Oryctolagus cuniculus: one gene and its partners. The protein of the gene in region 1 interacts with the protein of each later gene in a pairwise test. Links are inferred from orthologs where the notes say so. Each region holds a gene or a part of one and is shown on either strand. Other genes may lie near its edges.

The links.
Region 2: the proteins of MAP2K3 (region 1) and ARNT come close enough for resonance energy transfer, tested with the Homo sapiens proteins (2 studies listed by BioGRID). The link is inferred for Oryctolagus cuniculus from reciprocal best matches to the Homo sapiens genes MAP2K3 and ARNT.
Region 3: the proteins of MAP2K3 (region 1) and PDGFRA come close enough for resonance energy transfer, tested with the Homo sapiens proteins (2 studies listed by BioGRID). The link is inferred for Oryctolagus cuniculus from reciprocal best matches to the Homo sapiens genes MAP2K3 and PDGFRA.
Region 4: the proteins of MAP2K3 (region 1) and FGFR4 come close enough for resonance energy transfer, tested with the Homo sapiens proteins (2 studies listed by BioGRID). The link is inferred for Oryctolagus cuniculus from reciprocal best matches to the Homo sapiens genes MAP2K3 and FGFR4.

What each region holds. Positions count from the first base shown.
Region 1 is NC_091448.1:65,865,666-65,873,453, reverse strand, and holds the start of MAP2K3 (dual specificity mitogen-activated protein kinase kinase 3), read left to right. Parts: upstream 1-2,954; 5' UTR 2,955-3,192; coding exon 3,193-3,241; intron 3,242-3,895; exon of another isoform or gene 3,896-3,907; coding exon of another isoform or gene 3,908-3,932; exon of another isoform or gene 3,933-4,704; intron 4,705-5,313; exon of another isoform or gene 5,314-5,586; intron 5,587-5,837; exon of another isoform or gene 5,838-6,030; intron 6,031-7,788. UniProt on the Homo sapiens protein: Dual specificity kinase. Is activated by cytokines and environmental stress in vivo. Catalyzes the concomitant phosphorylation of a threonine and a tyrosine residue in the MAP kinase p38.
Region 2 is NC_091438.1:47,194,307-47,201,948, forward strand, and holds the start of ARNT (aryl hydrocarbon receptor nuclear translocator), read left to right. Parts: upstream 1-3,364; 5' UTR 3,365-3,532; coding exon 3,533-3,557; intron 3,558-3,616; exon of another isoform or gene 3,617-3,637; intron 3,638-7,642. UniProt on the Homo sapiens protein: Required for activity of the AHR. Upon ligand binding, AHR translocates into the nucleus, where it heterodimerizes with ARNT and induces transcription by binding to xenobiotic response elements (XRE).
Region 3 is NC_091439.1:109,895,645-109,902,664, reverse strand, and holds part of PDGFRA (platelet-derived growth factor receptor alpha), read left to right. Parts: intron 1-502; coding exon 503-750; intron 751-4,422; coding exon 4,423-4,570; 3' UTR 4,571-7,020. UniProt on the Homo sapiens protein: Tyrosine-protein kinase that acts as a cell-surface receptor for PDGFA, PDGFB and PDGFC and plays an essential role in the regulation of embryonic development, cell proliferation, survival and chemotaxis.
Region 4 is NC_091437.1:63,110,432-63,118,055, forward strand, and holds the start of FGFR4 (fibroblast growth factor receptor 4), read left to right. Parts: upstream 1-2,398; 5' UTR 2,399-2,534; exon of another isoform or gene 2,535-2,579; intron 2,580-2,900; exon of another isoform or gene 2,901-3,069; intron 3,070-4,500; 5' UTR 4,501-4,534; coding exon 4,535-4,625; exon of another isoform or gene 4,626-4,639; intron 4,640-5,225; coding exon 5,226-5,489; intron 5,490-5,578; coding exon 5,579-5,659; intron 5,660-5,759; coding exon 5,760-5,926; intron 5,927-6,552; coding exon 6,553-6,676; intron 6,677-7,135; coding exon 7,136-7,326; intron 7,327-7,428; coding exon 7,429-7,567; intron 7,568-7,624. UniProt on the Homo sapiens protein: Tyrosine-protein kinase that acts as a cell-surface receptor for fibroblast growth factors and plays a role in the regulation of cell proliferation, differentiation and migration, and in regulation of lipid metabolism, bile acid biosynthesis, glucose uptake, vitamin D metabolism and phosphate homeostasis.

The DNA of each region.
Region 1 (7,788 bases):
CCATCAAGTTGCCAGGAAGTGCCAAGACTGAGGCTGCTGGGACCCCAGGGAGCTTCTGTGTAGCCCACAGGGAGCGGGACAGGCTGGCCCTGAGAATACTGCCAGAGGCAAGGAGCTGGCTTCTTTCCAGGTGGCAGCTGTCTTGCTGAGAAGGGTGTGTGGCAGGAAGGGGTAGGGAGGGCCATCTTCACGAGACAGACCAGGATGTCAGTCATAGCTCTGCCACTAATGGCCCTGGGCACACTCCAGCACCTTTCTGAGCCACGCTGTTTTCTTCTTATTATTATTAGGTAAACGTACCTGAAAGCAATCAGATGCACCTTGTCGGGATGGCGTGAGTTTTCCTGTGTTCCACCAGTGTCTTCCAAGCACCTACTGTGTGCTCTGCAGCATAGTGGGTCCACAAGAGGAACTGATCCTTGGAAGAGGGGTGGGGAAGGTAGGGGAGGGGATTTCTGGCTGAGGGCGCAGCCTTTGCAAAGAGAGGCTCAAGGAAGCTTGGGCTGGGAGTGGCTGGACACGAGGGGGTGTGCGCGGTCGGCAGGGGCCCAGGCACCTGGAAGCTGAAGGGTGGGGGTGTTGGCTGGTCCTGGGTTCGGTGCTGCGGAGCATGGCTGTGCCAGGACTCACCACCAGAGGGCGCTGTGGGCCAGCAAGCCGTGGCGGCCCCTGCTGGTGGCAGAGTCAAGTACACAGCTGTGCGCAGCTGTTGCAGGTGTTTTGGGTCCACCACTGCACGCGTGCCCGTGCATGACCACACGCGTGCACCCTGTTGTGTGTGTGTGTGTGTGTGTGTGTGTGTGTGTGTGTGTGTGCCGGTGGGCTTGGGTACTGCGGCCAGCACATGGGGTTGAAACTGTGCAAGCCCATGAGAATCAGCAAGTTCAGGAGTGCATTTAGCTGAGAACTGGGACCGTGTGCCTGGTCTCTTTGAGACTCCCCTAGCAGCCATCCCCTCTCGGCCCCCAGCCTTGCACGTATCAGCTCCACCCCCCATGCCTGCAACACATCCCCTGCCTCCCCTGCTCTGCTCACCGGGCACCTCTTTGAAACGGGCGCTCCGCTTTGCCTGCCTTGCTGCTCCCACAGATCCAAGTCTGTGCAATGAATGCGGAATGAGCCGCCCGCCCGCATCCAGGCCTATGCCCTCTCTCCAGGCCTCTGTCAGCCCACGTCCCGCCCACCTCAACCTCAGTTTCCCGGTGCCTGCTTGGCACTGAAGGTGAGAGGCAGCCTGCCGTCACTCACCTTCTGGCTCTGAGTGGTCGTGGCACCCCTGGGCCTGGCCGTGCCACTGAGAGGCAGGAGGGCAGTGAGAGAAGAAGGACCGGGGGCCCCCAGCTCTCGCTCTCCCCAATCCTTGGCCTCCACCATTGCTTCTCTGCCTCGCAACCTCCTAACTGGTCCTCAGAGGAGCAGTCGCCAAGTCACCTCCTCCGAGGAGCCTTCCAGGACCCCACCCAGGTGGAGTCCAGCAGCTCATGCACCTGTTTACAGCACCCCACGTGGAGTGTTGTGATTCCTGGGGCGTTTGTCAGGTCCTCTGACTAAGCCATCAACTCCCCACGTGCGTGCGAGGACCTCTTCTGAGTCACCTACTGCCCCGGAGGCCGGTCCGGGCCCAGAGTCGCTTCACCCCTGGCCATGCCACCCTTTCCTGCTTCCCTGGGCCCGCAGTGGGCCGGGGGGTGGAGTGGGAACGCTGCAGGGAGTGGGACCCAAAGCCGTCCCGCTCAGCAGGGCACGTGAGCGCAGGGCTAAAATGAGGCAGAACCAGGGGCGTGGGTGGAGGATTAGCCTGACCGGGGCTGGCCACCCAGCAGGCATCGGAGTAGCACCGAAGGGGACAAGCCCTGGGAAGCCTGGTGTTGGTGGGGGGTGGCAGGCATGAGGGGCGTGGGCAGGTCCAGGGCCAGCCCCCAGCTGTGGATACCCGCGGGGCGGGGAGGGGCGTGCCGGCGGGAGGAGAGGAAGCTGGGGCAGAGAACCTGCTGGATGGGGCTTTAGTTCTGACCGGGAGGCCGCCACCGCTGGGTGCCCACTCTGCAGATGGGTCCTGAACCCCATGCCTGGCCTCCTACAGGAAGTGGGCCCAGGTGGAGTCCTGCCTTGCCCGGGCTGGGGAGACTGCCAGGTCCTTGCACGGGGGTCGGGGGGCTTGCAGGCCTGAGTGGCTGGAGATGCGCTCCCACCCGGGACAGGGGCGCGCACGCGGCACGGAGCTGCGGTGGCCGCTCCGGGGCCACAGAGCCGGCCTGCGGCTCGCCTTTCCACCGGACCTCGCCCCTGAGTGGGTGCGGCCTGCGGGCATCACCCCCTGCGGTGCACACAGTAGGGGGTGGCACCTGCCGCCCTCACGTGTGAGATCCTGCCCGGAGGCCAGCCTGCGACCTCTTGACCTCTGCCGGCCCGAGTAACCTGAAGCCTGGGGCCAGGTGGGTCAGCGGCCTCTGAGGTCTCCACCCCACCCCGCCACGACCCCGCCACGAGGCTCGGTGCGGGAGCAGACGGAGGGCGCGGCCGTCCGGCAGCTGGAGGCCCAAGCGAGGCCAGGGGCCCCGCGCAGCGCCAGGCAGCGACCTGGGCACCGGACTGCCCCTGAGCAGAACGTACCGACAACGCCACCGTCCTCTGGCTCCTTCCCGCGAACAGCCCGGGGGCCCGGGGCGGGGCGCCGAAGGGGCTGCGGAGCTGGGAGCGTGGCCCAGCGCGGGACGCGCGCGCTCGGCGGGCACCCCCCCCCGGCATGGGCGTGGCTTGCATCTTGACAGGCAGCGGGAGGCGGAGCCTGCCGAGGCCTGAGTTTCCCGAGGAGGGGCGGGGCCGGATCTGGGCGGGGTTCGTGTTTGACGGGCAGTCCGAGGCCAGCACTGATAGGCAGGGGCCGGGCCCTGGAGACCGCCGGGCCAATCCGACCGCGGGACCGGGCTCGCCCCGCCCGCCCCCCGCGGCGTCGCCCGGCCGGGCCTCGGCGCCGCCCGCCGCAGTCGGGATCTGCTGGCCGCCTGGGTCCTCGCCGCCGCCGCCGCCGCCGCCGCCGCCGCCGCCGCCGCCGCCGCCGCCGCCGCCGCCGCCGCCTCGCGCGGGCCGCCCGTCCGCAGCTATGGCCGCGCCCGGGCCCGTGAGGGTCCGCCGCACGCTCGCTTAGCCGCCCGCCGCCGCCGCCGCCGCCGCCCGGGGCCCGCCTGCAGCATGGAGTCGCCCGCCCCCGGCCAGCCCGCCGGCGTGCCGCAGTCCAAAGGTAGGCGCGCCCTCTGCACGGTCCCGGGACCGCAGCTCCCCAGCGCGCCCCGGGGCCGCAGCCTCGCCGCCACCTCTGGGGAGTGCGCCTGCAGGCGTGGCCGGGCTGCCCCCAGCCTTCCATCCTCCTGGAATCTCTCCCGGGCTTCCCGCCACAAGCGGACCCAAGAAGGAGCCCCCAGGACCCTCCCCTCCCCCCCGTCCGGGTCCAGCTCCCGGCCCCAGGGCCGAGTCTGGGGTCTCTCTCCCACTCCGCGCCTGGGCCCCGGCTCCTCGCTCGTCCTGCCGGGGCAGGTGCGCTCGGGGCTTCGCGTCTTGTCTTCCCCCAGCCTGGAACCCCTGCACGCCGGGACCCTCGTCCGGCAGCCCCATTCCCCGGGACACCCCCCCGCCCCCCGCCACGACTGCTCCTTCTTGTCTTGACTTTGCAAGCTTCGCCCTGCACTTGGGCTGGCCTTGAGCCGCCTGGACGCCGGAGGTGGGGGGAGGTCCAGCCCCCGGGCCAGAGGTGCCTGCTCAGCACAGGGTCTCTTGCAAGCCACTGGCCTTCCGGGAAATTTCTGTGCGGTGGCCGCTGCGGCGGCAGCATTTGTCATGCAGAGGGCGGTGGATGAGACTTGGAGGGTGAAAGGGGAATTTTTTTTTTTTTTTTCAGGAAGAGGAGAGCATGTTTTTGGCGTGCCCCAGTCTCGGTAGGCTGGGTGGTGGGAGGGGTTTCCAAACCGGACATGGCTGTAATGAATGGGCTCTGTGAACCTGCTGTTGCCTCGCCCTGGGGAGCCCCATGACGGGCTCTGGGTCTGTTTCCTTATCTGTGAGATGGGGGGTGGGAGACAGTCACACCTACTTCTGTGGACAGGGACGTGTGACGTGAGAGAGGGGGTCAGCAGGTGCACAAGCCAGCAAGGCGCCTGCTCAGCTGCACACAGTAGGTGCACACAGTAGGTGTGCAGGAAGGGAGTAGCTGTTGCAAGCGTTACTGTTGCCGTTTTCAACCCCCCCCCCCCCTTGCTGGAGAGACCTCAGCCATGCGGCTGCAAGAGGGAAGTCTCCTGGGGGGGGCGCCTGGGCACTTAGTGGGTGCCTGTTCAGGGGCTGTCCCCTCTGCTCCCCTCCTTCCCTGGAGGGGTCCTGGGGAGGGTGTGGGCCCTTCCTGGGCCCTGCTGCCAGTGGCTGCGGTGGCTGTGGGCTGGAGCCGGGTGGGCAGGGTAATTACGGCTTACGTAAGCCGGAGGCCGGATCCCCGACAGCATTGCCCAACCTCTGAGTAACTCAGCAGGCACTCGCGCCGGGGAGGTGGCCGGGGAGGGCCCTGCTCCACGCACAGACCTTGTGGAGCTTGGGAACCGGGAAATCAGACACTCCTCGGCTCCAGAGGGTCGGGAAGGGGTGGGAAGCCGTGTTGATCTTGAAGCCGTGTCAGCCCTTCCAGGCAGGGCAGAATAAACCGCTGAGGTTGCAGGGCTGTGGAAGAAGGGACAAGAATGCTCCAGGTGCCGTGTGACTTGGGGCCACCCCCTGCCCTGGGTTTATTTCTGCCTTGGGGATCCAGGGAGCAAGATGATGCCTACCTAGGGGGTTGCGTGGAGGGTCAGGGGCCCTCCATAGATAAGGAAACAGAACCTTGGTGTCACAGCTGTAAGGTGTCACAGAGCGAGTTAGCTCTCCACCCAGCACCGTTTGTGTCCATGGTGGTCTCCCCAGGGGTCCCGTGTCCCATTCCTGTGCTGGGTGCTCGCCTTGGCCAGGGGGACGCCCCCACCCTCACCCGCGTCCCTCCTGGACCTGGAGGGTGGGCTGAGGCAGAAGTGTTGCCCATCCTGTGCACTGCCCCGTGCACTTGGAGTGTTGACTGCTTGCCGCAAGCCAGCCCATTTCGCAGATGCAAAACTGAGGTCTGGTGGTGGGTGGGGTGGGGAGTGGCTGGTCTGAGGCCACAGAGCAGAAGGCCTGCCTCGTATGCCCCCCCCCCATTCCTGGGCCCCAGGCCCCCAGCATGGAGCTTTTCTCGACCTGCTCAAGGGAATTCGGACAGAGCAGGGAGTGGCTGCTGGGTGACCTGAGAGCTTTTACCTCAGAACTTCCTGCCTTGCAGTGGATGTCCTGCTTGTGTTCTGGGCAGGGCCTGGGCCCTGGCCTCCCGGCCCACGTGCTGTCTCCGGCTGGGGTCAGAGGTCACGGGCAGCTGGTGCTGGGACACACGTGGTCGGCGTGGTCTGGGTCTACGGGCCGCATTTGTCCTTGGCTGTTCCCGTCTTGGGTTCGGCCGCTTGGGGAGGCTGCCAGACAGGGCACCCTGAAACTGCAGAGTATTGCCTGCTGGGGCTGCTGTCCCCCCCCGCCCCCCCGCTGCACAGCCCTGTCCCCCAATCCCGGCTGTCGGAAACACTGGAAGGTGGCACCTTGGGGAGTTCCCCCACCCCTGTCGTGACGCACAGGAAACTCTCTATCAGCCAGCATGTGGCTCTGGGCCCGAGAGGAGCAAAGTTCTCCATCAGCCCTGTGTGGTGAGAGGGCCGGGGCAGTGGAGGCTTCCGGTGAGTCAGCGGGCACCGGGCGCTGACTCACCCACCGGGCACGCCAGCCGGCTGCTTGCAGCTTAAAGGGGCATTGCCCACCGGCCTGCTGGCTGGGACGGGGCTGCTTGCCTGGGCCCCGCCAGCAGCACCCGGCCCTGAGCTGGGGTGCCGGAGGGGGCCCGTCCTGGACTGCAGGCTGGGCTGCTCACCCAAGAACTTCCTCTGTCAGGCAAAGGGGCTCCGCTTCCTCTTGCTCACGGAGCAGAAGCAGGTGGCTGTGGCTGTTTTCCGCCCTTGGCCCAGGGGACTCCTGAGGCGTAGCCGTGCAGCTGGGGGCTCGGAGAGTGAGGGCTGGAGGCCGTGCAGGGTCAGCCGGTGGCGGCCGCGGTGCAGGGACGATGGGGCGGGAGGGTGGGGTGGCGGCGGTGGTTAAGGGCTCAGGCTCAGTTCCAAGCTCTGCCCCTACTTGCACTGGGCGAGTCGCGCGCTTGGTCCCTTCCCTGCACTCTGAATGACTGACGTTCCCTGGGCCCAGCTTTCAGCGAGGACAGGCCTCAGTTTCCTGACCTGCAGAATGGGTGCAGGGGACCCTGGCTGCCCGGGTGCAGACAGCTGCATTCCACTCCTGCCTCGTGTCAGGTTCTGGTCACAGCAAGGTTGCCCTCTGCCCACAGAGGCAGGAAGTGGAGGTGGAACCTGGGCTTTGGCGCCTCCTACCCCACTGGTGCCTAGGCTGGAGGTAGGGTTGCCTCCTGGGCTTTCCTGAGCCCGCAGATCTGCCTCTGCCCTATCTCTGGCATTCCAAGGCTGAACAGGGGAACCTTGGCTAGGAGGGCAGTTGGGATGCATCCTCTTGGGCCAGCCCCATAGTATGGGGGACACTTGCATGGAGCCCGGGCCGGGTGAGCAGCCCAGGTGCAGGCCCAGCTTGGGTGCCTGGCCTAGAGGGCCAGGGTCTCAGCAGGGGTCCCTGGGGAGAAACACAGGGGGAGCAGCTGGAAGGTGCCCCCCGACGGGCACTGGTACCACCAGCCTTGAAGGCTTATGCTGAGGCGGGCATGCCCAGTGCCGGGCAGGCTTCCTGGGGATGGAGCCTGGGGGAGGTGGGCAGGGATGGGGCAGTGTGGCTGGCATTGGGCAGGACGTACCGCATCAGGGCCGGGACAGCCAAGCGAGGGCTTAGGGCATGCCCCGACCCCGCTTGTCCTCTGCCTGTCTGTGTCTTGGCTCAGCCTCCTGCCGCTGGCACTGGGCACCCTACCCTGGTTGCCAGGTTCCCAGCCTGGCTCTGCCCTGGCCCATTTAAGAGACGTGGTAATGACGAAGGCAGCGGGGCCTTGGTCGAGGGAAGGGGCTTCAACTGGTTGGCGTGCACAGACGCCTGCACCTGGCCACAGCCTGAAGCTCCCCAGGACCCCAGGCCCAAACTCCGCCATGTTTCTCGGAAGGTCTGGCAAGGACCCCACAGGATTCTGGAAGCCTGGTGCGTGGGGGCCCCTGGCCTGTGCGTGCCACACACATTACATGCACGCTCTCATTATGCCTTCGTGGTCACCCGGCATCTGGGAGGGTGTGGTTGTCACCCTGTTTTACGAGTGACTAAACAATGGCCCAGGGTCACAAAAGTCGGTCAGGAGTGTGACCTTGTCCTGACCCCTGACCCTTGCTCGCCCTTTCTTAGAGATCCCTGTTGCGGCACCCATGCATAGAACATCACAGGGAGAGACGAGACTCCGAGAGGAACTGTGGGTGCTCACGGGCTCCCTGGCACCGCTCACTGCCCGCTGGGGGCAGATACTGCTGGAGCTGCTTGCCCAGGGCTCAGGCCAGTCCTCGTGGGTACCCTGGGCAGGCCCCTGGGCATTTTCCCTCTGTGTGGGTGCTGGGTGCCCCGTCACAGGTGGGCAGGAAGGAGGACCCTCTCCTTCTTCTCTTTCTTATCCTTTTTTTTTTTTTTTTAATTTTTTTTGACAGGCAGAGTGGACAGTGAGAGAGAAAGACAGAGAGAAAGGTCTTCCTTTGCCGTTGG
Region 2 (7,642 bases), on another chromosome or scaffold:
TAAGACAAATAAGCATAAGAGAAGTGGAAGAGACTGGCAAAATTCAGCACCTTTGTTGGGAGTGCCTACATTCTTATGGCCAGCTACTTTTTTGTAAAGATTTATTATTATTATTATTTTTTTTGAAAGACAGAGTTATAGAGAGGTAGAGGCAGAGGCAGGGAAGAGAGATCTTCCATTCGCTGGTCCACTCCCCAAATGGCTGAAATGTCCAGGGCTGGGCCAATCTGAAGCCAGGAACCAGGAGCTTCTTCCAGGTCTCCCATGCAGGTGGGAGAGGGCCCAAGGAGTTGGGCCATCTTACTACTTTCTCAGGCCATAGCACAGAGCTGGATCGGAAGTGGTACAGCTGGGATTTAAACCAGAGCCCATATGGGATGCCGGCACTGCAGAAGCGCCGCCCTCTGGCTAGCTACTTTGACAGATGTGATTGTGGTAAATGTCATGTGACTTACTGCTTCAACCAATCAAAAGACAAGTAATCGTGGATTGGTTAATAAAAAACATGAGCTAGAAAAAAATCATGGCATTTAGAACTTGATGTAAAACATTCCGATTAACAAAACCATAGCTCTGGGCTGGCGCCATGGCTCAATAGGCTAATCCTCCGCCTAGCGGCCATTGGAGGGTGAACCAATGGCAAAAGGAAGACCTTTCTCTCTCTCTCTCTCTCTCACTGTCCACTCTGCCTGTCAAAAAAACAAAAAAACAAAAAAACAAACCATAGCTCCGATGTGAGCAAGTGTACTTGAAATAACAAAAATGGATTCTATTATTATTAGCACAAAGAAGGGACTTTTACTCCAGCTGTTATTTATTTATTTTTTATTTATTTATTTATTTTTTTGACAGGCAGAGTGGACAGTGAGAGAGAGAGAGACAGAGAGAAAGGTCTTCCTTTTGCCGTTGGTTCACCCTCCAATGGCCGCCGCGGCCGGTGCGCTGCGGCCGGCGCACCGCACTGGTCCGATGGCAGGAGCCAGGAGCCAGGTGCTTTTCCTGGTCTCCCATGGGGTGCAGGGCCCAAGCACCTGGGCCATCCTCCACTGCACTCCCGGGCCACAGCAGAGAGCTGGCCTGGAAGAGGGGCAACCGGGACAGAATCCGGCGCCCCGACCGGGACTAGAACCCGGTGTGCCGGCGCCGCTAGGCGGAGGATTAGCCTAGTGAGCCGCGGCGCCGGCCTACTCCAGCTGTTATTAAAAAATTTGTGACTTGGGGCTGGCACTGTGGCATAATAGGCTAAGCCTCTACTTGTGGCCCCGGCAGCTAACCTGCTGCACTACAATGTCAGCCCCAGAACTCAAACATCTTAACTGGCCTCCCATACCACTGCTGTACTCACTGAGTGTCCTTTGCTAAGTCTCTTTGTTCTATTGCCTTATTTTCAAAATGGAAATAATACTATGATCTACCTTATTATTTTATTGTGAGTATTGAATAAATATGTATAAAGGATTTTGGACAGCTTTTTTTTTTTTTTAATTTATTTGAAAGTCAGAGTTACAGAGAGGAGAGGCACAAAGAGAGAGGTCTTCCATCCGCTGGTTCACTCCCCATTTGGCTGCAACGGCCGGAGCTGTGCGGATCTGAAGCCAGGAGCCTAGGGCTTCTTCCAAATCTCCCACATGGGGGCAGGGACCCAAAGACTTAGGCCATCTTGTACTGCTTTCCCAGGCCATAGTAGAGAGCTGGATCAGAAGTGGAGCAGCTAGGTCTCTAACTAGTGTCCATATGGGATGCTGGCACTTCATGCTGGGGCGTTAACCCGCTGGGCCACAACGCCTGCCCCAGGCAGTTTCTTATTATTAGAAAAGAAACCTGTAGGAGCCGGCACTGTGGCATAGTATGATAAGCCTCCACTTGCAGTGCTGGCATCCCATATGGGCACGAGTTCGTGTCCCAGCTGCTCTACTTCCAATCCAGCTCCCTGCTTATGGCCTGGGAAAGCAGCGGAAGATGGCCCAACTGCTTGTGCCCCGCACCCATATTGGAGACCCAGAAGAAGCTCCTGGCTCCTGGTTTCGGATTGGCTCAACTCCGGCTGTTGCGGCCATCTGGGGAGTGAGCCAGTGGATGGATTACCTTTCTTTCTGTCTCTCCCTCTGTCTGTAACTCTACCTCTCAAATACATAAAATCTTTAAAAAAAAAATCTGTAAAGTCCTCTTCTTACCACTCCCCTACTAAAAACGTATCATTATGTTCCTATGACTAAATGAAGTTACAAAGTTACACTGCTTTCTTTTCTTTAAATTAATTTATTTGAAAGGCAGCGTGACTGAGAGACAGACACAGAGAGATCTTCCATCTACTGGCTCATTCCCCAAATGGTCAAACTGAGGCTGGGTCAGGTGGAAGCCAGTGTCCAGGAGCTCCATCCTGGTCTCCCACATGGGTGGCAGGGACCCAAGCACTTGGTCCATCATCTGCTGCTTCTCAGGCAAGTTGGATCACAAGCATGGAGGAGCAGAGACTCTAACCATCACTCTGACAAAGGGTGCAGGTGTCCCAAGCCACAGCTTAACCTGCCTTGCCACAACAACCACTGCACTTTAAATCAAAGTATCTTCCTTGTCCATTGCCTGCAGTTTTGGCTATTGGTATCTTTTATCAGCCTGTAAACACTGAGATCTTTTTAGATCACCACTTTAATAATAAGCATTCAAAAATTAGTTATTGGGCGAGTGGGGGCCAGTGGTTAGTCTAACCATTACAAAGATACTTAGCCTCCCATCCCACATCAGAGGGCTTGGGTTGCACTGCTGGCCGGATTCCAGCTTCCTGCCAATGCAGACCCCGGGGAGGCAGCAGAGATGGCTCAAGCAGTTGGGTTCCTGCCACCCACGTGGGAGCCCCGGTTTGTTACTGGCTTCTTCCACACCTGTCTCAGACATTGTGGGCAACAAGGCAGTGAACCAGCAGGTGCGATCTGTCTAATTAAAAAAATTACCTATTGAACTGTTTTCGGCAGGGACAAATGTCTTTTAAAGAGGGAGAAAAAACACCAACAAGGACTACAAATCACATGAGAAGTTAAAAGTATTAGAATCCCTAAGGACGATTCACAAAAGTAGTCTGCAGGGGGACCTCACGGCTGAATCCACCACTAAGAGAAGCTTTTTAGTAAAATACACACTTTGTTTTTCACTGATGTCACTTGGTCACCGACTTCTGACGCAAGGAAGGCAGGATTACGGAGACAGCTGGACTTCTTCCTCGCTCTCTCTCCAGTGGCCGGCCTAGCGCACTGACCAGCCCTGCCCCTGGTCGGCTTGGCGTTTCCATTGGCCCGTGCCCACAGAGGAGGCCGGACGAGGAATGACCCGGCCCATCGAGTGGGCGGGGCCTAGCCACCACTGGGCCGGGGACGGCGGGGGTTGCCGCAGCCGCCATCTTGGATTCCGCGGTAGCGGTGGCGGCAGTAGGGCGCCGCTGCTGGGGAGTGGCTCGTCCCTCCCCCGCCCCCCGGCGTTCGGTGGCGGCGGCTCCTCCCACTGGGGGGGTGGCGCGGCGGCGGTGGCATCTAGGGCCATGGCGGCGACTACTGCTAACCCGGGTAAGGAGACGGAGGACTGGGGCGCCTGTAAAGGGGGAGGAGCTGAAGGGGCTGACAAGTGAGGAGATCTAGGGCAGAGGGTCGGTAGCGGGGGTTTAAGGCGCTGGGGCGGGAGTGGGCGGCCGGGGAGAGGTGGGGGAGGGGAGTGACCTGGGGGAGGGGCCCGGGGACCGGGGAGCCCCGGGCTGGAGGGAGGGAGCGGGCGGGTGGGAGTTGGGGGTTCCTTGCGGGAGCCGGGTTGGAGCTCGGCGGGCCCGCCTCCGCTCCGCTGGCGGCGTTGTGGTCTGTGATGTGGTCCTCTTTTAACCCGCTGGCCCCTCAGGCTGCTGGATGTCGAATAACTGTGGGCAGAGTGGCTCGGTGCACTTTAAAAGTAGTTTAGATTCATAAACACGGGAGTTCGTTGCTGTTGGAGGTTGTTTGCAAACATTGTAGCGTTTGGTTTTAAGTTTTAAAATCGTGTGACTACTGTACGCTCAGATTCTGTAGGCTGTATCTCCGGTCCCCCCTTCTCACTCGGGGGCTATACCTTGAAACTTGATGTGTTAAAAGGGCCTCTAGTGTCTTGAGCTAATGAGGGCGAGTTTTGTAATGGTTGTGGGTCAGGAGAGATCTTTCGTCCAGAATCCCAGGTTTAAATCTCGTGAGGCCTAGGTCGAAGCAGTTACCATTCTTTCTGCGAAGTTTAGTTCCATGCCATTTCTCAGTGAACATTAAAAAGATTTAACCAGTCATGTTCAAGTGTTGGGGGTGGAGCTTGCTGTGCCGGTCTGGAGATGGCAAATCTTTGATTCTTAGTACAAGTCCTTTTCGCTGTTATAGATACTTCTCCTTAGGAAGCATTTCATTTTAGGGCGCCTAGTTTATCTTCCTGACCTTGGCCATTCCCTTGCAAAATAAAAGCTATCCTTTCCCAGAAATCCAAATCTTTGATAGCCTTAAAAAGGGCTGAAGATGTGTTTGTGTGTATCTCTGTGTGTAATTTCTTGAACATTAATTTTTTTTTCATGTCTGGAAATGTAATACTATTTTTGCAATACTCAAGTTTTGATATCATAGTTGAATCGCTGAAATTTACTGTCTTTCCATGTTTCTAGGAGCAGAGCTATTTTAAGAAATGATTTGGCACATGCCAATATCATTAGAAAACTTGTAAATTATTTTTAAAAGGAAAAGGATATGAAATTAATGACTAAAATTCCTTGGAGGAAGTCCTGAGTGATGAGCTGAAACTATAAAATTGGAAAAATGCTGTTATGGCAAAGCTGACCTTGTAGTAAGATAATCTATCTGTGAACTAGGGAGTAAATAAACAAGATTTTAAACTGATCACACATTGCAAAATACTTATATAACCCTAGTCAAGTTGTAAAGTATTTCTCTTATTAAGAAGTGGTCTGGGTAAACAAGTTTTAGGGCATATGTCAGAAGCTTTTTCCCAGCTGTGGGTGGGGTTGTTTTGTTTTGTTTTGTTTTGTTTTAAACAACAGCCAGCTGAATGAAAATCTCTTGACCATATTTTCATTAGCTGATCAATATCAGCTTACATGTCTTAAAAGAAAACATGTTTTTGGGACCGGCGCTGTGGCGCAGTAGGTTAATCCCCCGCCTGCGGCGCCAGTTCTAGTGCTGGCTGCTCCTCTTCCAATCCAGCTCTCTGCAATGGCCTGGGAAAGCAGGAGAAGATGGCCCAAGTCCTTGGGCCCCTGCACCCACATGGGAGACCTGGAAGACGCTCCTGGTTCCTGGCTTCGGATCTGCACAGCTCCGGCCATTGCGGCCATCTGGGGAGTGAGCCAGTGGATGGAAGACCTCTCTTTCTGCTCTACCTCTCTCTGTAACTCTGTCTTTCAAATAAATAAAATAAATGTTAAAAAAAAAACCACATTTTTGGTGCAGAATCTTTGTTAATCGCAGCGCCCCCGAAAATCACTTTTTTGTTTGTTTGTTTTTTAAGATTTAGTTATTTATTTGAAAGACAGAGTTAGAGATAGAGATAGAGAGAGAGGTCTTCCATCTGCTGATTCACTCCCTGTGTGGCCACACTGGTCACAGCTGAGCTGATCTGGAGCCAGGAGTTTCTTCTGGGTCTTACACGTGAGTGTTGAGGTCCAGGGACTTGGACCATTTTCTGCTGCTTTCCCAGGTGCAATAGCAGAGAGCTGGATCATAAGTGGAGCAGCCGGGACTCAAACCAGCACCCATATGGGATGCCAACGCTGCAGGTGAAGGCTTAACCTTCTATGCCACAGTGCTGGCCCCTCCATCAACTTTTTGAAATACTCTTGTAACTGTGTTGTAGGTTTTTGAGAAGCCTATTGCATTTTGGGAAACGAGATCCATGAATGGAGGGACATTGGGTGGAAATTTACTGTGCCCAGTGAAAAAGTAAATGGTTTTCAGGTCAGAATTCTTTACTGCCTCAGCACACCTTTGCTTAGAATCATTTTAGGGACTGTGGACATGATACCTATTTAAATTTTTTTCTAGTTTGTATTTTTGCTGGATTACTGGTTAAGTTTCCGTACAATTCTTGATTTATCTTTACATTATGTCTACAAAAGACTTTTAAAATAATCCACTCTTCTAAGGTTCAGTTTAGTTAATCCTTAGACTTAATAACAGTGCTTGGTCATGTTAATTGTATTTGGAATATAATTTAGAGATTGCTGGTCGTTTTTCAGTGTCTTTAGGGATCCTGTTTCTTCTGTATTTTTTTTTTTTTGGTAAGATTTATTTATTTATTTATTTACTTACTTACTTGAAAGTCAGAGTTACACAGAGAGAGAAGGAGAGGCAGAAAGAGAGAGAGGTCTTCCATCCGCTGGTTCACTCCCCAATTGCCTGCAACGGCTGGAGCTGCGCTGATCCGGAGCCAGGAGCCAGGAGCTTCTTCTGGGTCTCCCATGCGGGTACAGAGGCCCAAGGACTTGGACCATCTTCCACTGCTTTCTCAGGCCATAGCAGAGAGCTGGATCAGAAGAAGAGCAGCCAGGACTAGAACCGGTATCCATATGGGATGCTGGTGCTTCAGGCCAGGGCATTAACCTGCCACGCCACAGTGCCGGCCCCTCTTCTGTATTTTTCATTCTGGCTTGACGTGGTACTGGATCAGAGGAAGAGTAAGATCTGATATCCTGTCTCTAAGAGTTGTATTGAAGTAATACTTTCTAATGTGATGATGACTTTTTTCTGCATGAATTGATCATTCGTCATGTTCTATCAATTTTAACTAGTTCTGCTTACCAATGGCAAGTAGAAGTGGGTGGATAGGTGGCTCAGGAAATCTTGGGCTATATTTTTCTTACCTATGGATTACTAAAGCTTGAGAAACACTTTTTAAATAGGATGTGCAGTTTGTAATGCATTGGCTAAAAGACTACTTGGGAAGAGAGTAGGTTTGCTTTAGTTTACAAGTCAGTGTGCAAACCAAAGTTGTGAATAAGTCTGTAGTGAGTATAGATTTTTCCTTCGAGTTTCTCATTAGTCCAGAACTCTTTTTGTGCTATTATGTACATTTTTTTTTTTTTTTTTTGTGGATGGAGAATGAAATAGAAGGTAAAGTAGGGAGCACTGGGTTTGTAAGGCTGACAGGAAATTTTTTTTATATATAATTTTGATCTATATAAATTATGGTTTTAAAATCGTGAATTAGGGGCTATTTTGTGGCACAGTGGGTTAAGCTGCCGCCTGTGATGCTGACATCCCATATGGGTGCCAGTTCCAATCCCGGCTGCTTCACTTCCAATCCAGCTCCCTGCTAATGTGCGTTTGAAAGCAGCAGAGAGTGGCCCTAGTGTTTGGACCCCTGCACCCATGTGGGAGCTTCAGAGGAAGCTCCTGGTTCTTCGGCCTGGCATAGCTCCAGCTGTTGTGGCCTTTTGGGGAGTGAACTAGCGGGCAGAAGATCTCTCTCTCTCTCATCCTCTCTCTCTAACTCTGCCTTTCAAATAAAATTAATCTTTTAAAATCATCAATTAACAAAATTCATGTTACCTTTAATTGCCTTTGTGAGATATAGAAAAGTAGAAATTTAAGCATTATAAAATTAAGATGTCAGGACTATGGTGTACTGCAAAGACCTC
Region 3 (7,020 bases), on another chromosome or scaffold:
CGGCGCAGGCCCATATATCTATTTTTAAGAGTAATTTATTTGAAAGGCAGAGTTAGCGAGAGGGAGAGGAGGGGAGAGAGAGAGAGATCTTCATCTGCTGGTTCACTCCCCACATGGCAGCAGTGGCCATGGCTGGACTGAGCTGAAGCCGGGAGCCAGAGGTTCGGGCACATGTCCCACGTGGGTGCAGGGGCCTAACCACTTGGGCCATCTTTCCCAGATGCATTGGCAAGGAGCCGGATGGGAAGTGGAGCAGCAGGGACTCAAACTGGCATCCATGTGGGATGCCGGAGTCACAGGCTGTAGCTTAACCCCCTGGGCCCCTGGCATCCCTGTTGGTGGGCCCCCTCTCTGGGGATGGCTGGCCCATGCCCTTCCGTTGTGTGACGCTCGCAGCCAGGAGCTGGTTTGCAACGGGCAGTGACCTCGCCTGCGTTCTGAGGGTCCAGTCGGTGTCTGTTGGCTCCAGCGCGTGCTCACCTGGGTCCGCGCGTGCTTGCAGAGCTATGAGAAGATCCACCTGGACTTCCTGAGGAGCGACCACCCCGCCGTGGCACGCATGCGTGTGGACACCGACAGCGCGTACCTGGGCGTCACCTACAAGAACGAGGAGGACAAGCTGAAGGACTGGGAGGGCGGCCTGGACGAGCAGAGGCTGAGCGCCGACAGCGGCTACATCATCCCCCTGCCCGACATCGACCCCGTGCCCGAGGAGGACGAGGAGGACGGGGGCAAGCGCAACCGGCACAGGTAGGCAGCCCCCAGCGCTGCCGGCGCCCCTCGCGCCGCCCACCGCCCCCAGCACTGCCAGACCCCGGGGGCTGTGCGGGGGGAGGGGGGTCTGCAGGAGCCGTCAGCCTGCCGAACGCCGGGGGGCTGCATGGCTTTGAAGATGCGCCCCAGGGGACTCCGAGGCGTCTGCTGGGGCTGGGGCTGGGGTTGGGGGCGTGTGTGTGTGCATGCGTGTGCATGTGTGAGTGCATTCTTGAGAGTGTGTGTGCATCCATGTGATGAGTGAGTGCATGCGTGTACATTTGTGTGTGAGTGCGTTCATGAGAGTATATGTGTGTGCATGAGTGTGCATTCATGAGCGTGTGCTTGAGTGTGTGAGTGCATCCATGAGAGTACATGCATGCGTGTGCATGCGTGTGCATGTGCGCATTCTATGAGAGTGCACACGTGTGTGCATGTGGAGTGCATTCATGAGAGTGCACATGTGTGTGCATGTGGAGTGCACTCATGAGAGTGTGCATGCGTGCGCATGTGTGTATGCGTGTGCACACGAGTGCATTCTTGAGTGTGTATGCATGTGTGTGCGTGTGTGTGAGTGCATCCATGAGAGTGTGAATACATTCATAGGAGTGTGTGTGTGCACCTGCATGTGTGTGTGTGGGGGGTACTTCCCCAGTGGGTCCAGACCTTTGACCTGAGCCCTCGGGGACCTGGTCAGTAGCTGCTGTGCTGAGCGCAGCCTGTGCCGCTGTCTGAAATGGGCCTGGAGCTGAGGGGACGGATGGAGGAGACGGATGGAGGGAGGTGGCTCTGGGGCCTCTGACGCACCCCCGTGCTTGCCACGCCTCCGAATCACCTGGCAAGGCTTTCTGTTTATCTCCTTAAAAAAATTATGGGGGCTGGCGCTGTGGTGTAGCGGGTAAAGCTGCCACCTGCAGTGCTGGCATCCCATACGGGCGCCGGTTCGAATCCCAGCTGCTCCGCTTCCCATCCAGCTCTGCTGTGGCCTGGGAAAGCGGTAGAAGATGGCCAAGTCCTTGGGCCCCTGTGCCCACATGGGAGACCCAGAAGAAGCTCCTGGCTCCTGGCTTCAATGTGGCCCAGCCCTCTCCCTCTCCCTCTCCAATTCTGCCTTTCAAATAAATAACAAATAAAATAGAAATAAATAAAAATAAACAAAGCATTCTTGAATTCTTAGTCCTCCTTTGAAAGGCAGAAGGGCACAGACGCAGAGAAAGAGAGAGAGGAAATATGCTCCGGTCCACTCATTCACTCCCCAGATGTCCCAGTGGCCGGAGCCGGGCCAGGCCGAAGCCAAGAACCAGGAGTTCTACCTGGGCCTCCCCTGTGGGTGGCAGGGACCCAATCATTGAGCCTCCCAGGGCGCACAGTCGCAGGAAGCTGGAACTGAAACCCAGGCGTCCATACGGGACATGGCCATCGCAGGCGGCGTCTCAGGCGCGCACCGAACCTGCACCCGAAACTCGCCTGGAGTTCCGTTTCCAGCCAGCTTCCCGCCTGGATGCGTTAGTTCATTATCAAGACACGCAACGGCATGAGAACCTTGGTTCCCGGCGCCCAAGCCCCAGGCGCTGATCGTGGCCTGTTTAATTAAGGTCCACGTGGCCCGGGGTCCTTTTCTTTCCTTCCTGCCTGCTCGTTCCGTGAGCTGCATGCAGGAGCACGTGGCGTGGTCGGGGCCCTCGGCACAGCTGCCGGCAGCCCTTGTTGATCTGCGTGCACCCGGTGATTTTGCAAAGTACAGCTTTGGCTTCTTCTATTTTGGGAATCCTCGACTGGGGGATGCTGTTTTACTGTGTGTTTATGTTCCTTTAGTAAACAAACCTGGGGGTCTGTGTTGGAACGGGGGCGCCAGGGGGAGGCTGGGTGGAGGCCTGGGGGCTCTCTCCCCTTGGAGGCTTTGTGTTTGGGGGCTCTGAGGCAGTGTGCCCCAGATAACAGCCCCAAGTCAGGTGGGACTGTAGCCCTGAACCGCAAGACGAGCTGGCCCTGGGTGAGGGCATCCCAGAGCCGGGGGGAGCTTTGGGCTCAGCTGGGCAGTCAGCCCCGAAGTCACCTCCTTCTAGGCTCAGGACATTGACCTTGGGGAGGGAGTGGGCTCAGGGGCACTGGCCACTGGGTGTGGGCAGCTGGGCGAGCCGCGGGAATGGGCTGGTACTGGGTCTCGGGGTGGTCAGTCCTCCCTGCCCACACCCCTGTGTCCTCCAGAGGAAGAGCAGGGTCAGGGCCTGGCTCGGCAGTGCCCATCCCAGCGCCCACGGCTGGGCTGGGTCCACATCCACATCAGGTCCCGGGCGAGGGGCCGCCCTTGGACGGTTGTCGGGATCAGCAAGTGGATGGGATTCGGAGGCTCAGGACAGGTGTAAGTGCAGGCAGAGCTGAGGCCTAAGGAACCCGCAGCCCGGCAGCCTCCTGGGGCCCAGGAGGAGTCAGGGCCGCAGGAGTCGTGGGTGGTGGCCGCCGTGTTCCCCAGCAGGACGTGAGCTGTGGGACTCAGTTCTCTGCTTGGCAGGGGATGGGGAAGGGAGGGGACCCTGTGTCCTCACTGCTGCTGGTCCCACGTTGGACAGGGACCTCCTCGCCGGCAGGTGATAATCTGGAGGGGCAAAAAAGACCTAACGTGGACAGCAGCGCAAGGCAGGATGGCGCTAAGACAAGAGGTCTCGGGTCACAGGTCACAGGTCACAGGTCGCAGGCTGGGTCTTCAGGGAAGAAGCCAAAAAAATAGTGCATGAGCCTCCCTCCCACTTAGATTGCACAGTTGTTGGCAGGTGTTCAGCTCTGTGTGGCATAGGTTATTGCGTGTCAGTCACATAGAGGGGACTCCAGAAATGGCGCTGGAGATAAGCTGTTTTTGGTGCCGAAGTGTTGGAACCCACGCGTGGTGTGTTCATGAGGCACGCCCCCTGCGTGCGTCCTCACGTTTTGCTAGTGGTTGAGTCACTTGGAACTAAGTAAGGGACACCAGGACATGGCTCCCACGCACGTGCCCGTGAATAACACCCCTGCCCGCGCCCGCCGTGCCAGCCCCCTGTGCTGCGCGTGTGGGCCCAGCTCAGCCGTGGGTGAGAAGACAGGAGGGGCAGCACCCACTGCCGCGTGCCCTGCCCATGCTCGGCACTCACGGCTGGTATCTTGCTCATCAGCCGAGCAGGCGTGCTGTGAGCGTCCTTGGCATGCCCTTCGTGTAGGCAAGGAGGTACGTTCAAGTTCATCAGGCGGAGGGTGCCACCCGGGGGAGTCCACTGCAAGGCCCCCCCTCCCCCTCTCCAGGAGGCAGAGAGCCTTCCCCTGGGAGGTCCGGACTGGGAGCCCTGGGGTCACAGGGGCAGGGGGCCTCCCGGCACACAGGCGTCCCTGTCCCCAAGAGCAGGTGGCTGGCCCGGCTGCACCGCCCCCAGTGCCTCCCTCTGCTTGTCATTCCCGCTGCCTTGTGTTTGTGCATTGCTGGTTTCTCTTCTGCTGGGATTGAGTAGGGAAGATGGGCTCGGTGGCCGCCGGTTGGCAGTGCTGAAGGAAGGCGGCCGTGTGTGTGAGGTGGGCTGCACGTCCCGCCCCCTGCTGTCCACATGGCCCCACGTGGCGGGAGGGGCGGTGCTGGGCGCCCCCTGCAGTGCGGCTGCGATGTGCCCGGTGCTCAGCCTCGTGCCCTCTGTCTCTAACCTCCAGCTCGCAGACCTCGGAGGAGAGTGCCATCGAGACGGGTTCCAGCAGCTCCACCTTCATGAAGAGAGAGGACGAGACCATCGAGGACATGGACATGATGGACGACATTGGCATGGACTCCTCGGACCTGGTGGAGGACAGCTTCCTGTGAGCCGCAGGTCCCCGCGCGTTCCCGGAGCTGCCCTGGGATCCTTTTCAGAAAACCACTTTATTTGCAAGGCAGAGGTGGAGAGGACGACGTGGGGGATGCGGGACGAGGAGGCCCTGGCCCGGGATTCTCCGGGGCGGGGCAGGGGGAGCCGTGTGACCAGCCTCGGAGGGGGAATGGGACGCTTGGAGGTGGACGCTGCTGGCACTGCCTCTGGATTCGCCAGCCTCGGCGGCGTGGGGGGTTCAAGGGCACGGTGGACCCCGGGAAGTGAGCTCTGGGTCTCAAGTCCACGTGCACAACCGGAGTCGCACTGAAGTTGCAGTGTCGCTGTTATGTACATAAATCTGAACGCAGCCCTGGTGAGAGATGCGTCCGTCTCCTCTGGACTTCTGAGACACCACTCAGCCCAGCCGTGTCTTTCCCTGTCGGAGCCTGGCTGCCACTGGCTCTGGACTCCCAGTGTTGTACAAAACCACTTCGGAACCTTCAAAGGTGCTGGTCTTGGAGCATCTTAGTCGTGCGTAGCGCAGAGTCATTAACCAGCCTCGTTTAATAGACGTGTGTCGTTTAGAAGCCCCAAGCCGCGTTTTCGTATCGTAACCTATGTTTGTAATCATACTACTGTCATTAGTGATGCTAAGTGTGTAACACGTAACACGGGCTCCTGCCCGAGAAAGCACAAGTTAAAAAACAAAAAAAAGAACCCTAAGTAGGTGACAGGTTTGCAACTTTTGACACTTTCTTTTTTTAAAGAGCTTATGTTTCCCCATAAATGATGTTGATCACCGCAGTGGGTCGGACATCAGAGAACAAGGTCACAGTTGTCCCGGAAGTCATGGACTTTGGTTGTGTACAAGTCGCTCCCCCTGCCCGCGGTACTGAACGGGACGAGAGACGAGCCCAGGTCCCCGGTGTCAGAGTCCCCCGGGCCGGCATCACCCTGAGGGAAAGAGCAGCAGAGATCCTGTCTGGCCTCAAAGAGAAAGTGCTAGAAACCCGAGGCTGGGAGTGGGGGTGGTGGTGAGTGACGGCCGTGTGTGTGTGCCCCGGCTCTCTGGCCCCCAGGGAGCTGGCAGCCCGGATCTGGAGTTGGGAGTGGATGGGCAGCCGGCACCCGTGTTCTGTTCTGATGAGCCAAGTTTCAGGAGTGCTGGCTTGGGTTCCTGGGGGTTGCCGTGGGAAAAGCAATGATTTGCAATTTGGAGCTGGGCTGGAGGGCCACCATGCGGAAGCCTGCTGTGTAAGTCCCCGGCGCCTGGCTGTGCGTCCAGATTGCTACCCTCAACTTAATCCAGCCGGCTCAGCTGAGGGTCAGGGTCAGGGTCAGGACACTGGGCGTGGGCAGGTCTTCTTCAAGGTAAGGCCACTGCTTCTCCCTGCCTGGAGGGGACGGACCGGCTCCTGCCCGCCCGCACCCCCAGCCCGTGGACAAACACCTATAGAAGTGATGCCACTCACACTGCTGCCTCTCTGCACAACGAGGCCAGCATTTTGCTCCAAGAGGTGAACCATTTCACTGCTATACCGGGGTTAGACGGGACGATGCACCGTGACTCACGCCGGCCAGGGTGGGTTCATGGCGTTCTCGGCCGTGTTGCTTAATTGCTGACACCCAGGGCGCGACACGTGCCAGGTGCGGGAGCCACCCCGAGGTGCTTTCTCAGCCACCCTCTGCGTGGCCAGTGTGTGCTCTGAGCTGGATCGGCCAGCTAACAAGCTGACCGGGTTCTGTAGCACCAGCGAAGCCTCTGTGTGGCTGGAACCGCAGCTCGGGGGTCCTCGCTCCGTCACCTGCCCCTTAACAGTCACTGTTGTGGCCACTCTGGTCATCGAAGCCCCAGGCTTGCACGTCACCACAAGACTGGGTGCAAATCCGTGGCCAGGCTGAGCCTGGGGCCGCATTGTTAGTTTTTGCTTTTTTTAAAAAAGTGTCCCGTGTATCTCCAATCTGTGTCCCGTTTGCTTCCTGCAAAATCCCCAGAGAAAGACAATTGGCCACTGCTTCCCACTCTTTGATTTTTTTTTTTCCTGATGACAATCAAAGCCGGCGTGGGCGACGCAGCGTGCGGCCGTGCCCGCGCCGTGGTCTGCCCGCGTGCACAGAGCGGTCCTGTTTGTCTGAGAGGGACTTGTGATGCAATGATGTTATACATCGATGTGTACATATGTGTATCTACGTAGGCCTGCAGAATACTGCCAAAACATGTACGACGAGCTGTCTCACTGCCTTTGTTTATATTTTTTTAACTGTGATATTCCCTATAGGCACATTAACTGCTGCACTTTTGAATGTCCAAAATTTATATTTTAGACATAATGAAGAGAAGAAGACTTAAGGTGTTCCCCAAACAGTGGCGTGGAGAGTGTGTGAGGACGAACTGGTTGGGGAGGGAGGGTCTCCCAAGACAAAATGTGTTACAGATGCCCCCTGCCCCATGCCCGTTTTCATT
Region 4 (7,624 bases), on another chromosome or scaffold:
CATGACAATACGGACGGAAGCTGCTAAGCGGGCAGCGCCTCTGCGCTTCTCCCAGAGCCTGCGGGGGAGGAGAGGGCCTCGTCTCAGGTGAGGGGTCACAGGTCAGAGGGTCAGAGGGTGCCTGGCCTTCTAGTTTGGCCGCAGCATGGGTCTCTGCAGGTGAGGCCGACCAGAGCACACCGAGAGTGGAGCTATCTGGGAGGCACCTGCGTGTACCCTGCACTTAACACGGCGGCCAGGTCCGTGGGCACAGCTCCTGCCTCCCCAGAGGGAACACTTCACAATCATTTACATTCCTGATGGTTCAGCTACAATACTGGCAAATATGAAGAAATCCCAGATCAAAAAGTGATCATAATGGTGCAGCAGGTAAAGCTGCCATCTGCGGTGCTGGCATCCCATATGGGCACCAGTTCGAGTCCCGGCTGCTCCACTTCCAATCCAGCTCTCTGCTATGGCCTGGGAAAGCAGTGGAAGATGGCCCAAGTCCTTGGGCCCCTGCACCCACGTGGGAGACCCGGAAGAAGCTCCTGGCTCCTGGCTTCAGATCGGTGCAGCTCTGGCCATTGCGGCCATCTGGGGAGTAAACCAGCGGGTGGGAGACCTCTCTCTCTCTGTAATGCTGTCTTTCAAATAAATAAAATAATTCTTTAAAAAAATAAGAAGTAATCACAGCTAGCATTGCAAAGCAAATGCTGGATGATGGCTTTGCACACACCCACAGGTCTGCTTCTTGCAACAACCTCTTGAGGTTGATGCTATCAGCTACCACTTTCCTGCCAACAGGATGAAGACAGGGATGGAGGGACCCGCCAAGGCTGTGTGCGACAGTGCTGAGAGGTGAGGGCACACAGCCCAGTGCTGCAAGCTGTGCTCTGAATCACTCAGGAAAAGGCAGCTCTGCAGCACCCGGTGAGCTCAGTGCTCCCAGAAGAAGCAAGAGGAGCAGGACCTGAGAAGGAGACAGACTTCACCAGACCAAGACGGGACAGCGCGTTCCAGGAAGAGGGAAATCACATGCAAAGGCCCAGGGGCAGGGTGGGAGCAAGATAAAAGGGCATGAAGGTTCAATCTGGAGATGTGGGCAGGGGCCAGGTTATGCTAAAAACCTATATATAATTTTGTGAGAAGCTACTGGAAAATTAAAGGGGAAGATAAAACAGTCAGATTTGTATTTAAAATATAACTCAGGTGGGACTGACGTTATGGCATAGCAGGTAAAGCAGTCACCTGAGATGTCAGCATCCCATATGGGCGCTGGTTTGAATCTTGGCTGCTCCACTTCCCAGCCAGCTCCCTGATCATAGCAGTGGAAGATGGCCCAAGTGTTTGGACCCCTGCACCCACATGGGAGACCTGGAAGAAGCTCCTGGCTCCTGAGTTTGGTCTGGCCCAGCCTGGCCATTGTGACCATTTGGGGAGTGAACCAGGGGATGGAAGACCTTTCTCTCTCTCTCCCTGTAATTCTGTCTCTTCAATAAATAAATAAATAAATATACTTTTAAAAACCATAAACTACATTGCCACATTGCCAAAAAGAGAGATTTCTTTTCTTTTCCCCCTCCCCTCCCCTCTCCTCCTCCTCCCTCTTCTCCTCTCCTCCCTTCCAGATCTCTCAGGCTGGGGCAGCCCATAGCAGAGAGCTGGATCGGAAGTGGGGCAGCTGAGACTCAAACCGGCACCCACATGGGCTGCTTGCACCGCAGGCAGCAGTATTACCTGCTATGCCACAGCGCTGGCCCCCTAAATAAATCTTTTAAAAAATCACTCTGGACTTGGAGTTGAGGCTCCATGGCTTAAGCCACCGCTTACATCCACCAGCATCCCAAATCAGAGCACTGGTTCAAGTCCAGCTGCTCTGTTTCCAATCCAGCTCCCTGCAAATGCTCCTGGGAAGGCAGGTGGAAGATGGCCCAGCCTCTGCCACCCTCGTGGGAGATGCCGATGGACTTCCAGGCTCCTGGCTTCCTGGCTCTGCCATTTGGGGAGTGAACCAGCAGATGGACGACCTCTGATTCTCCTTCTCTCGTCACTCTGCCTTTCAAATAAATAAATAAATATTTTCTAGAAAGAACTGTCACTGTGCAGGTTGCCAAATGAGCGGACGTGGGGCAGTCAGTCCACTGCACAGAGATGGCGGAGCAAGGCTAGGGTCAATGTTTCCTTCCCCGAGGGGTGACGAGCAGGAGACACGGCTGGGCAGTGGACGAGAACTTGGAAGCCCCGCCAGGGGTCTGGGTGGGCCGGAGGAGGTGGCTTGTAGTAGCCAGGCTGGCCCTGGCCGGCTGGCGGTGATGCTGGGTCGCCGCTTTGGGACCTAGGTGGGCGTGGCTGCGGAGCCCTGCCACGCCCCTGAGAGGTACTACCGGCCGGGGGCGGGGCCGGGGCGGGGCTGGGCAGCTGCCCGCGGCCACGCCGCTGTAGCGAGTTTATTCCTGGCTCTCCCGCCGCGGGCGGAGCAGCGCCGGGGCTATCTGCAGGCCCCGCCGGGCGCGGGGATCGGGTGAGCAGGGAGCGAGGCGCGGGGGAACCAGGTGAGCAGGACCCTGGTGCGGGCAGCGGAGCCACGCAGGTTCGAGGTGAGCCAGGACCCGTGCGGGCCCGGACTTCACCCCCTGCCGCCAGGGGGCGAGCGACGGCGGGGTCCAGGGGTTGCCCCCTCCCGGCACGGGGGCGTCCTCTCGGCGCGGGGGTGGAAGGGCGGTAAATCAGTAACCCACAGCGCACACAGGGCCTTTTGTCCCGCTCCGTCCAAAGAGCACCGTGGCCACGGAGCTGGTTACTCATTGCCCACCCGGGCGGGGGCGGGTGCAGCTCCCGGGGGAGGGGGACCCTTCGGCTCGCACCTCCCCCCGAAGGTGGCCGGGCGGGTGGGGAGAGCGCTCTTGTCCTTGGGCGGCAGAGCAGGGGAGGCCGACGCCCGGAGAGGTGCAGCGCTGGCCCAGGGCCCTCCGGCGCGGGAGTGCGGAGGCTGGATAACCCGGGACCGTCTGATGCTGGAGTCGGGAGCTCTGGTCCCACGCGCCGGGCGGGTGGCCAGCCGCCGCGGTGACCCGGCCAAGGTTTGAGGTTGGGAGGTCAGGGCAGCCTGGGGTCCCAGGCGTCCCCACCCCACTGCCCGCGGAGCTGTGCCCCGAGGCAGAGGGGGCGCTTTGCGGAGCCCTGGGGTGGGCTGGGCTCAGTCACAGAAAGAGCTGAGCGGGATGGAGAAGAGGGATGAAGGGCACGGAGGCGCCGGGTTTTGAAAGGCGGTGGGTTCCGTGCTCGTGAAGGGAGATTGGCCAGGGCAGAGAGGGGGCCTGGGAGACACACGAGCCGCGGGGACTGCTTCCTGCAGGGTGCAGGGAGCCTTTAACCGACGGAGGGGGCACTTGACAGACGTGTGTTTCCCAAAGCCCTTGCAGAGGCTGAGAACAGAGGAGGTTTGCAAAGGCCCAAGCAGACACCACCGTGGCCTGCCCCGGGGAGGGACAGGAAATACAGAGAGGGCTGGGAGGGGGGGACCCGGCTGCAGAGAGATGTGGTGGGCTTCCAGGAAGGCGCATCTGCAGACACCACTGACACCTGGCTGGCACCCAGCCCCAGGGAATAGCCAGTGGCTGCCTGGGACCACAGCCTGTCCCCTTGCTTGGTTCTGAGTGTTCCTTTGGGGGGACAGAGACGTGCTCAGTAGCACTGGGAAGAAAGTGACCAAATGAGATGGGTGTGCACCTCGTACCTGACAGGACCAGAGCTGACCGGCTGAGGGCAGACCAGGGTGACAGGTGACAAGAGGGGCGGGGAGGACATGCCAGTATGCCACGTGCCTAGTCCCCACATATATCACCGCTTTTATCTCAAAACAGCCTGGAGCGGGACAGCCCAGGACTTGCAAGCTGGTGGGAGCCGAGACTTGAACTTGGTGCTGACACTTTAGAGTCTACAGAAACTCCTGTGTGGGGTTGCGGGGCTTCCGAATGAGGCCCTCTCCCTGCTCCACGTGGGGAGTGCTGCCTTGTTGGTGCAAGCACCCAGTTGCTAGGCATGGGTGCCAGGAATACCCTAGGGGTAGGGGTCAGCCCCAACAACATGCAGCTGCTGACGTTTGGCCTGCTATCACATTTCACTTTTTTTTTTTTTTTGGCTCTTCAGCAATAAATTTCTTTATTCAGCAAAAAGTAAATTATGTGTGCTGAGAGCGAACAGCAGATATTTCTCCATTCTCTGCCTCGCTCCAAGGAAAGAATCCCCAAACTGCTCTTTCTGTGAACTTGTGCCAGGGTCTCAGCAGGACCCAGGCAGAGCAGGAAGCCGAGCCCAGCTCCCCCTGCACCAGCAACCAGGGGGAGGCCCTGGGCTCCGGCAGCGGCAGCAGCAACAGAGCTGGTTCCAGTCTCTGCCTTGCCACAGCCGGGCTAGGGGCTTGGACCAACCTGCCTCAGTTTCTTCATCTGCAAAATAGGGCAATAGCGCTGGCCCAGACGCACGTGTGGCAGCTGCTCTTTTTGCCCCCTGTTCCAGGAGTTCCAGCCTGAGTCCTGGGAGCTGCAGGAAGATGTGGGTGCTACTGGCCCTGCTGGGGGTCCTGCTGGGGGCACCTGGGGCTCCAGCCTTGTCCCTTGAGGCTTCTGAGGAAGTGGAGCTGGGTATGGCCCCAAAGGTGGGAGAGGGTCGCAGGGGTGGGAAGCGTGAACCTGGGAGGGGGCTGCTGGCTGAGCAGAGCCGGAGAGGGTCCCAGCCCAAGCCCTGAGAAGGCGGTGGCAGGGCAGGCCTCAGCCTCTGAGACTCTGTGTCTGGCTCCCAGCAAGCGGCCACTATCTATCACTGCGCTCCAGAGGACGGGCCTTGCAGGGCGCTGGGCCCTCAGCTGGGCTGCAGAGCCGGGGGTGAGCGCTTGGCTGCGTGGGTGTGTGTGTGTGTGTGTGTGTGTGTTCTGTGCATCAGTGTGTAGCTTGGCGGCCCAGGCAGCACGTGTGGCACGTATAGCATGTGCCTTTGAGTGTCTGTGTATGTGTGTGTACGTGTGTCCCGAGTGTAGCATGTCCAGCATGCGTGCCAAGTACTTGTGTGCGTGTGGCCCACCTCGGCGCTGTGGCGTGGGCCCACAGCTGCGTGCGGAGGAGTGGCATGTCCAGCACGTGTCCTTGGGTGCCCGGGCCCCACGTGGGCAGCATGTTCTTCATACGCAAGGGGGCCGCCTCCCATCGGAGTGGCGGGGCTCACTGCGTTCTGTGCTCGGCCCACAGAACCCTGCCCAGCCCCCAGCCTGGAACAGCCCGAGCAGGAACTGACCGTGGCCCTTGGGCAGCCCGTGCGGCTGTGCTGCAGGCGGGCTGAGCGGGGCGGCCACTGGTACAAGGAGGGCAGTCGCTTAGCACCTGCCGGCCGGGTGCGGGGCTGGAGGGGCCGCCTGGAGATTGCCAGCTTCCTGCCCGAGGATGCCGGCCGCTACCTCTGCCTGGCTCGAGGCTCCATGACGGTCCTGCACAATCTCACCTTGGCTGTGGATGGTAAGAGGGGCTGGCGGGGGCGGCTGAGGTCCCCGGGGAGAGAGACTCCCTCTCTTGGTCCTCAGATGCTTGCTCTGTCCCTGACACAGACTCCTCGGTCTCCAGTGACGATCCTGAGGACCCCAAGGCCCACAGGGGCTCCCCGAACAGGCACAGTTACCCTCAGCAAGGTCGGTGTGAGGCTTCCAGGACTCGTGTCCACATCGCCCCATCTGGTCACTGAAACGAGGGGTGGGGGGCACTCAGTACGCCCACCTCCTCCCCCCCCAGCTCCATACTGGACACACCCCCAGCGCATGGAGAAGAAACTGCATGCAGTGCCTGCCGGGAACACCATCAAGTTCCGCTGCCCAGCCGCAGGCAACCCCATGCCCACCATCCGCTGGCTCAAGGACGGACAGGCCTTCCATGGGGAGAACCGCATTGGAGGGATTCGGGTGAGGCTGTGGAGTCCCAGACCATCTGCTCCCAGACTTCATTTCCCCCCGGGCCCCTGGCACCTGTGAATCTAATGTGGAAGGCAACTGGGAAGCACCAGGCTTCAGACTGGGGCGATCCGGCTACCCCACCAAGTGCCTTCCCCGCTCAGCAACCCCAACTGTGCGGCTGGAAGAACCCCGGGCCAGCAAGCCTCAGGACGCTTTGGCATCTCCTCTCTCTCTTTAAGATTGATTTATTTGAAAGGCAGAGTTACAGAGAGGTAGAGAGAGAGAGAGGTCTTCCATCCACTGGTTCACTCCCCAAATGGTCGCAATGGCCAGGGCTGCGCCTGTCCAAAGCCAGGAGCCAGGAGCTTCTTCCAGGTCTCCTGTGCGGCCTGCACAGAGGAAGCTACAGCTCAGAGAGGGCAATCACTCCATGCTCAGGTGGCCCAGCGAGGGAGAGGCAGACTCAAAAGTCTCCCACCGCAGGCTCTCAGGTCCCCCAGGCCTTCTCCTGTGTCCCAAGATCTACACCCTTGGCCTGACCTCAGAGTCTAAGCTTGTGGACAAGACGCAGCCTCCTCGTGCCCTGTCCCCTCTGGGAGATGGGGGTTCCATGGCGGCCCCTTCCTCTGCCCCAGCTGCGCCACCAACACTGGAGCCTGGTGATGGAAAGCGTGGTGCCCTCGGACCGGGGCACGTACACCTGCCTGGTGGAGAACCCTCTGGGCAGCATCCGCTACAGCTACCTGCTGGATGTGCTGGGTGAGCGCATGGGCGGGGGGAAGCCGTGCATGGGGGGCAGGGCAGGTAACACAGACTGGGCCTCAGCTGGGGCAAGCAGCTCAAAGTGACCAGGTGGCCCAGAGGGTGACACCCGGAGTCAGGGGGTCTGCCCAGAGCGGGAATGAGAAGAGCAGGGGGGCCGAGAGCTGCAGCACAGCTAAGGCACCAGAGTGCAGGGGTGCAGTGCATTTGCAAGGAGATGCCCGTCTGAGGTGTGGCATTTACGGGGGACCCGGCCCTGGAGGGTTTTGAATGCTAGGCTGAGAAGTCATTCTTCACCCAAAGGTAGCAGGGAGCCATAGAAGGTTTAAGTAGGGTAGCGGGCGCTGGCCACGGTTTGAGCTGCCTGTTAGGAAGGGCCTTCCTGGAAGAGGCAGGGGAGCAGGGTGCCTGTCCGGGTGCCGCTGCTCAGGGTTCACGGCCCGACCCGGCCCCCAGAGCGCTCCCCGCACCGGCCCATCCTGCAGGCGGGGCTGCCGGCCAACACCACGGCTGTGGCGGGCAGTGACGTGGAGCTGCTGTGCAAGGTGTACAGTGATGCCCAGCCCCACATCCAGTGGCTGAAACACATCGTCATCAACGGCAGCAGCTTTGGCGCCGACGGCTTCCCCTATGTGCAAGTGCTGAAGGTGCATAAGCCCTCCCCTCCTGCCACCCATGGCTGGGGAGCGGGGGACCCAGCGGCCGCCCCAAGCCCTGCCGTCACCCCCTAATGTGTCCCTCTTCTCCAGACCGCAGACATCAACAGCTCCGAAGTGGAAGTCCTGTACCTGCGAAACGTTTCGGCCGAGGACGCGGGCGAGTACACCTGCCTGGCCGGCAACTCCATCGGCCTCTCCTACCAGTCGGCCTGGCTCACCGTGCTGCCAGGTGAGCGCCTTAGGGGGCCGGAGCAGGCTGCCATCTTACTTGGTCCCTATTGTGGTC